Linked DNA regions of Sus scrofa. The protein of the gene in region 1 interacts with the protein of each later gene in a pairwise test. Links are inferred from orthologs where the notes say so. Each region holds a gene or a part of one and is shown on either strand. Other genes may lie near its edges.

What was found. The genes of interacting proteins can lie anywhere in the genome.
Region 2: the proteins of UBE2L6 (region 1) and RNF144B interact in binary tests that used the Homo sapiens proteins (3 or more experiments, as listed by UniProt). The link is inferred for Sus scrofa from reciprocal best matches to the Homo sapiens genes UBE2L6 and RNF144B.

Annotation. Positions count from the first base shown.
Region 1 is NC_010444.4:13,352,451-13,356,888, reverse strand, and holds the start of UBE2L6 (ubiquitin/ISG15-conjugating enzyme E2 L6), read right to left. Parts: upstream 2,802-4,438; coding exon 2,775-2,801; intron 1-2,774. UniProt on the Homo sapiens protein: Catalyzes the covalent attachment of ubiquitin or ISG15 to other proteins. Functions in the E6/E6-AP-induced ubiquitination of p53/TP53. Promotes ubiquitination and subsequent proteasomal degradation of FLT3.
Region 2 is NC_010449.5:14,052,148-14,055,795, reverse strand, and holds part of RNF144B (E3 ubiquitin-protein ligase RNF144B), read right to left. Parts: intron 3,334-3,648; coding exon 3,122-3,333; intron 1-3,121.

The DNA.
Region 1 (4,438 bases):
TATTTTCTTGGAGTTCCCATCGTGGCTCAGTGGTAACACACCTGATAGTACCCATGAGGATGCCGGTTCGATCCCTGGCTTGCTCAGCAGGTTAAGGATCCAGCATTGCTGTGAGCTGTGGTGTAGGTCACAGACACGGCTGGGATCCCGCATTTCTATGGCTGTGGTGTAGGCTGGCAGCTACAGCTCCAATTCCACCCCTGGCTTGGGAATTTCCATATGCTGCTGGTGCAGCCCTAAAAAGACACAAATATTTATATTTTTCTTTATAAAAAATGTTTAAAATTGAAGTGTAGTTGCTGTATGATATAAGTTACACTGTAAGATGCACAATTTTTAAAGGTTACACCCCATTTATAGTTATAACATATTGGCTATATTCCCTGTGTTGTATAATATCTCCTTGTAGCTTATTTTATACCTAAGAGTTTGTATCTCTTACTCCTCTATCCCTATGTTGCCCGCCCCCCCCCTTTCCTCTCCCCTCTGCAATAGACCTCAGGGAAAAAAAAAAAAAACTCAACAACAACAAATAAAAAGGTCACATTTTTCTGGACCACCAAACAGGTGGAAAACAGTGGTTCTCAACTAGGGGATTCCTTTACCCCCCACCCCCCACCCCAGAGGTCTGACAATGTCTAGAACCATTTTTGGCTGTCACAAACGGAGAAATGGGGACTTGCTGCTGTGGCGCAGTGGGTTAAGAATCCAACTGCAGGAGTTCCTGTCATAGCTCAGCAGAAACGAGTCTGACTAGCATCCACGAGGACGCAGCTTCAGTCCCTGGCCTCCCTCAGTGGGTTAAGGATCCGGCATTGCCACGAGCTGTGGTGTAGCCCGCTGATGCAGCTCGGATCTGGCATGGCTGTGGCTGTGGTGTAGGCTAGGGGCTACAGCTCCGATGTGACCCTTAGCCTGGGAACCTCCATGTGCTGTGAGTGCAGCCCTTAGACCAAAAAAAAAAAAATTATCCAGCCCCAAATGTGAGTACTGACAAGGCTGCAAAATTCTGACGTAAACAAAGGCAGAGAGAAAGGTCCCCCAAGCCAGTTCGTTCACAGTGGGGGAGGGGTCTTCTCACATGTGCACCATCTAAACTTCTCTGCCCCTCCCCAACATACAAACACCCCCTTATCCCTGTTTCTTATCTTTCAGTCCATACGCCAACTCTGTTCACGCCAACAAACTGCATTTTGCACCTTCTGCTTGGAATCTATGACCCTTTCTTCATCTTCTATCCCAAACTAGAAGCATCTCTACTACAAGTCCTAGTTCCAGTATCACTTGTGACTCCTGAGCAAGAATGAACCCCCAGGTTAAACAGAGAAGCTCTGAAATGGTCAGTTTCCCAGCTTCACTAGAACTGGAAGCCCTTGGACTTGATCTGTTTTATATGAGTTCTGTTCAGACTTTCCCAAAGCCTGGGAATGTTGAAACCCAAGCTAGGACACACGCCTCTGTCCTGAGGTCTGTTAGGAAATCATCTGACTCAGAAGAATAGAAAACGAAAGTAGAAGAACCAGTGAAGGAACCTGTGGGTTGGAGCTCCACCAACCAGGGCTCCAGTCCAAGGTCCCTCCCTCGATCTCTATGGGGTGACCCAGGAGAGCCAAGTTATTCTCTCCAAGCCTCAGCTTCCTTATCTGGAAAATGGGGATATATGACTTAGCTCACAGGGATGCTGTGGGAATGAGCTGGAATAACTAATGTAAGCTGCCTGGCACTCATTTAACAGTGCCAGTGCAATAAATACTGGCTCCTCATTCTTTCCCATTTGGCTGGAAAGACCCTCTGGCCCATTTTGCTGCCAATCTCCAGATTTCAGTCCCTCTGTGCTGAGCCTGCTTTGAATGCCCTATCTGAGATCTTCTCAGAGGCTCAATCACCCACCTCAAGCCTGCCCCCTGCTCTGTACATAGGAGGGGAATTTCCAGGAGACTCAAAGCTTGAGGGGGTATCAGACCCACCTCACCAGAACTGCTCTAACCTTCTCAAACTGTCTCCAATCCCAGCCACAACCTGGGTTTTTCCCACTCATGGGGGAAACTGTCCCCTCTCCATCCTTCCAGAGGTCACTTCAAATGGCATCCCTGGTTGGAATGAAAGCTCAGTGAGGGCAGGATTTTGGTTCATCTCTGCCTCCAAAACAGGAGCCAGCACAGAGGAGGTTCAATAACATTTGCAGAACAAATAAACACACCGTCACCTACCCCAGGACATCGCCCTAGCATCTTTTCTTTCCCAGAACAGTCTGAGAACTTTGCTCCTGCCTCCTATTCAGCATCTCATACTTCTCGGGACTCTAACGTAGGTACCAAATTATAGGGCAGGCCATGGGCTACGCCAGGACAAGAACCTTGTCCTGGTTATCTCTGCTCAAAACGCACCCGCCACCACCTCCAGCTGAGGGCCTGTCTCCAAGAAGAAGCCAACGAAGCCTCCCCGCACCTGAGACGCACGCAATTGTTATCACAAGTTTCTGGGAGAAGAAATGAAACTGAAACCAATGGGGGGGGGGGCTCATTCCCATCCCCAGCACAGCTCAGGGAGCCAGCGACACCCCCGCTCGATATGCCCTCACCCCCCCAAACTCCAGCTCTGGCCCCTCTCGAAGATCCCTCTTCCTCTGGGGTGGGAGCGGAGATGGCAGGGATTCAGCCATCCCTGGTACCCAGACAAACAAACGCGCTCGCACTGCTAAGGGAGGGATGCAGGGAAGAGGGACTAGCAAGGCGAGGGGAGCCTTGAGAAAGGGTCATTCTACACGCGGTTACCTTTGCCACCCGCTTGCTCGCCGTCATCTCGGGACCAGTGTGGGCTCTGTCGGACTCCAGCGAGACTGTGCACCGGCCGGCGGACTCGGCGCTCCCCGCCCCGGGGACCCCACCTCCGGGAGCCCCGCCCACGCTCCTCTCCACCCGCGGGGACTCCGGGCTGGGCGGCCCTGCTTCCCACCGCCTCGGCAGAGCCTAGGAGGCCACGGAGGGGAGGACCCGCCCCGTCCCCGGCGCGGTGGGCTCGGATCCCCGGAACTCTAGCTCTTTTGTCGGCAGACAAGGCGGGCCTGGGAGCGCGCGGCGTTCCGGTTCCCGGCATACCACTGGGGGGCGCCGTGCACCCGGCCGCGAGTGCTCCCGGGCCGGGGTCCGCCCATCCGGGTTCTAATTTCAGCTCCTCCGCCGGAGGCCAAGCCGGGGTCTCCATCAGCTCCGTTAGCCCAGTCGCCGCAGCCGCCCCGAACACACACTCGCCCTAAGAAAATACAGGATGCGTGCTATGCAAACGCAGCTCCGCGACAGGTTGCTCGGGGGCCTCCACCGTCTGACCGCCGCCCTAAGCCTCTCGCGAATTCCAGGAGCCCCCCTGTGCAAACCACTTCCCCAAACCACTCTGGGCCCAATGCTCCATCTCTAAAAATTGGTGGGAGACGGCGTGGACTATAGCCTTTTCAAGGACCCCTCCCCTGGAGGCTTGTGTTCCTTTGTGCTGCCCAGCATTCGGCGGCGGAACTGCAAAGATGTTCCTCCCAAGTGACCGCTTGGTGAAAAGCACCGCAAGGGGGCGCTGTTGGACCCATTCACTTGCTTTAGGGCTTTGGTAGGTTTAATGTTTAAGTGCCTGCTCTGTGGAGGTTTGGGAGACAGTTGGGTAGTGGGGACCCCAAGATGGACTTCAGAGGCTTCCATTATTTTACCATCAGTCCACTACAAATTGCGGGCCTACTGTGTGCCCCAGTACACAACCAAGAGTCTCCACCCCTCTGTGTAAGGGCAGAAACACTTTCCCCTGGAGGAAGCTGAGGCCGCCTAGGAATAGCAGCCCCTGAGCCCTAGCAGCATCTGGAGAAGAATCTCTGGTAATAAGGAGACTCTGGGGAAACTGAACCCATCTTCCCCATCCCTTTCAATCCAGACGAAGGAAATCAGAAAATATTTTGTGCAGGTATTTTGAGTTTTGAGCACAGTTTAGGAAGTTTGTTTTGTTTTTGTTTTTTTGCTTTTTTAGAGCCGCACCCACGGCATATGAGGTCGAAGCTATCAAATGGACTACAGGGCGTGGGGGGTCGTGGGTAGTGGGGGACGTCGCTAGGCCAGGGGGTTCGACCCGCCGCCGTGGAAGGACCGCGGCGGAGCGTGGGGGCAGAGCGGCTCGGATCCGCGTTGCTGGGCTGCGTAGGCGTGGCTACAGCTCCGATTCACCCTAGCCTGGAACTCATATGCCGAAAAAAAAAAAAAAAAAAAAAAAAAAAAAAAAAAAAAAAAAAAAAAAAAAAAAAAACCTACAGTTGCTGGCCTAAGCCACACCCACAGCCACACCAGATCCAAGCCGTGTATGCAACCTGCACCACAGCTCTCGGCAACACCACATCCTTAACCCACTGAGCAAGGCCAGGATCAAACCTGTGTCGTCATGGATACTGGTCAGATTTGTTTCTGCT
Region 2 (3,648 bases), on another chromosome or scaffold:
ATGCAGTTTACTCTTTACCCAATGCTGATGCACAAATCCGAATTCTACTGCATGAGATCTCATTGCAAAAAGTGAATTCCATGTCCTGCTCTTCAACTTCAGTAATCCTCAGACAAGAATGTCCCTTCTGGCTTTAACCAAATGTGGCTTCTGACTCATTTGTTTCAAAGGTTAGCAAGGGTCTGAGACCGATGTGAGAAAATCTAAGAAAACAGTTTTGAAGCACAGCATTCAGAAACAAAGCAACACCAAAGGAAACCGAAGCTGCCCTGTGATGACAAGGCCATTTCCTCACTTCCCGTCAAGTAACACAAGATGAGGAAGAACCAGCACAAACATCACTTCATGAACCCACCTCCCGTCCACGCAACTGTCACTGCAGTGTCCTGGCCCCACACTCCTAACCAGCTCTACCTTTTTTCTTAAATCCCTATTACCCACTCCTATGTAACTTATCTATTTGTTAGGCTTTTTTATTTATTTCTGATTTTTTGTCTTTTTAGGGCCGTACCTGCGGCATATGGAGATCCCACGCCAGGGGCGAATCAGAGCTGTAGCTGCTGGCCTACACCAGAGCCACTGCAATGTGGGATCCAAGCCATGTCTGCAACCTACACCACAGCTCATAGCAACACCAGATCCTTAACCCACTGAGTGAGACCACAGATCGAAACCACGTCCCCATGGATGCCAGTCAGTTTCGTTTCCGCTGAGCCACAAGGGGAACTCCTATTAGGCTTATGATTTATTATGTAACTCTTTGACAGAACACAAGTTCCTAAAAGCAAGGATCTCTGCTGGGTTTTGTTCTTTAACTGATAAATCCCAGTGCCCAGAACAATTCCCAGGACACAGAGGCTGCTCACTAGGTATCTGCTGAATGAAGGGATAAATGATACTATTCTTTCCATCTCTGGATCCTCCAGTTCAAAACATAAGGATTTTAGTTGCTTTCCTTTTTATCTCAAAATTATTCCAAGCCTTCTCTCTACCCTAATCCTCAATCCAAACAAATTTAAGAAAATTGATATAAACTAGCTTGAAAAAGCGTCGTGTTAAATTAACTTGGAAAAGAGAGATGGGCGTTCCCGTTGCGGACCAGGGGGTTAAAAACTTGACAAGTCTCCACAAGGATCCGGGTTCTATCACTGGCCTTACTCAGTGGGTTAAGGATCTGGCGTTGCCACAAGCTGCAGTGTAGGTCATAGATACAGCTTGGATCTAGTGTTGCTGTGGCTGTGATGTAGGCCTGTAGCTGCAGCTCTGATTCAGCCCCCAGCCTGAGAACGTCCCTACGCCACAGGTGCAGCCATAAAAAGAAAACAAAAAGGGAGAGAGAGGGAGACGGGGTAAAATTTATTTCACCTTAACTTGTTAACGTTTTTTAAAAAGCATGATTAGTAGGATGTCTTTTTTATAAGTGATTCTAGTATTTCCTCAATGATTCCTTTCTTCTTACTCCCCTTGATTTAAGTACCGATCACTGTTCAATTTCCTTCACAAGTCAGAGTATTAAACCCACATTGGTTTGGTAATTATACCTACTATATATTAAGTATTAACAGTGTACCCATGCAAGGCCTACCAAAGCAAAGATAAGTGGTGAATATTACTAATTTAGGCATCAGGCCCTCCCCTCCACCCTGCTGAGAGGCCTCAAACTCTCCCTAGCTGACTCTTAATCCATCCTTAATTTGAAAGTATAGTTCATTCAAATACATACAAGAGAGAGGTAGGTACCATAAACAGAAAAAAGATCATCTATTTCTGGGCCTACGAAGCTACAGGCCCAGAGTAGCTCTATCTTACTGTTTATTCATTTTGAAAAGGAAAAATTTACAAAATCCGTCATTTGAAATTTCCCAATTGGGGAGTTCCCATCGTGGCGCAGTGGTTAACGAATCCGACTAGGAACCATGAGGTTGCGGGTTCGGTCCCTGCCCTTGCTCAGTGGGTTAACGATCTGGCGTTGCCGTGAGCTGTGGTGTAGGTTGCAGACGCAGCTCGGATCCCGCGTTGCTGTGGCTCTGGTGTAGGCCAGTGGCTACAGCTCCGATTCAACCCCTAGCCTGGGAACCTCCATATGCCGCGGGAGCGGCCCAAAGAAATGGCAAAAAGACCAAAAAAAAAAAAAAAAAAAAAGAAATTTCCCAATTGGGGATGCAAACGAAAAGGTGCTGAGGCCATGGCATCAGTGTGCAGTCTCTTGTTTAAAACCTCAGCTCAGGAAAGCACTGTCGCCAGGAAGCCCCCTCCCATCCCCAAAGAGGAGGACCGACCTCTGTGGTCTAGGGATCCCTAATTTCACCAGACTTGTGTATAGTTCTTTCAACGTGTCTGTCTTCCCTACGGGAAGTATCCTTTTCCTCTTCATATTCCCAAGACCAAGCAGAGTGCCTGGCATATCGTAGGAGCTCGAAAAACACCTCAGTGAGTGAACACCTGAACAAGTGTCAATCTGGTCCACACTTCTAGGAGCCCCTTTGAACCCATTAGCCTGTTTGCTATTTTTACTCTTTAACCAGCCAATCTTCAGGAAAACATGTGATCAAGATCATAGGCATTGACACTAAGTGTCCAACTAAACGACACAAGCCCACCCTGGAGTTGTACAGGGTCCTCTTTATTATGAGGAATAAGCAGCATTCAGCATATTCTGAAAAGACAAAAAAATGTAAAAGGAGATACGACCAAGTAAACAGGTGTACACACCATGTGCTTTGTAGGAGATGAGCAAGCATATTAAAGACGATCCAGTAAATTGATACCTGATTTCGCCATCATTCAAACCACCTGATAAACTTCTTACAGATGGCTGTTAACTAAGGCATGTTAAAAAATGTCACTGTTTTGCTCCCTAGCTAGATTCTTAAGAACAGAAAGATACTGCTTATTTAACCAATAATTAAATTTCACACACGCATTACAGTAAAACCCAGTCAATACCAGGTTTACCATTCAAGATAGTATTTGGAATCAGATTCAAAGGTGGAACTGTTTCCCCAGGCAGGATCATATCGCAGCAGACTTGGGCTTCTCAGTAAGCCATAGACATGTAAGCTGTACTTGTACAAGTCTTTCTCTGTATTTTCTCATCATGAAAGAACCAAGGAAAACTTACGGCTGTGCAAAAGATGCAGCGGCATTCCTGGAGTGTGGTCATCTTGTCCAGAGACTGCTCACACAGGCAGAGTTTGCAAGTGACGAGGGGGGTCAGAGCCAGGTCTCCAGGCGTGGGATTTTCAGCGGGATTTTCGGCAGTCATGGTGAGATAGTGGAGGCTACCAACGGAGCTCATCAGCCTATTTTCAGCCTCTTCAGTCTCCTTAATCCCTACAGAAAGGCCCAAAGCAGAAAATATTACATCCATTGATACAGCTCTCGTTCCACCAACACATCTGGGCACCAGCAGAGCAAACTCTCATCCTCAGTGGCCTAAGGGCACAGAAAACGCATTTCTGAGAACCACGGGCTAGAGAGCTTGCCACTTGCACAGTATTTCTGGAGTCCTGAAACGGAAGTGGGCCTCACTGCCTGACTCATATCACATAAACTATGGGAATTAAAAGACCACTATGAACAAATATACTATTTAGGAACTGCATTGCTACAATCAATGCAACAGATTCAAAAAATCCTTATAAATAG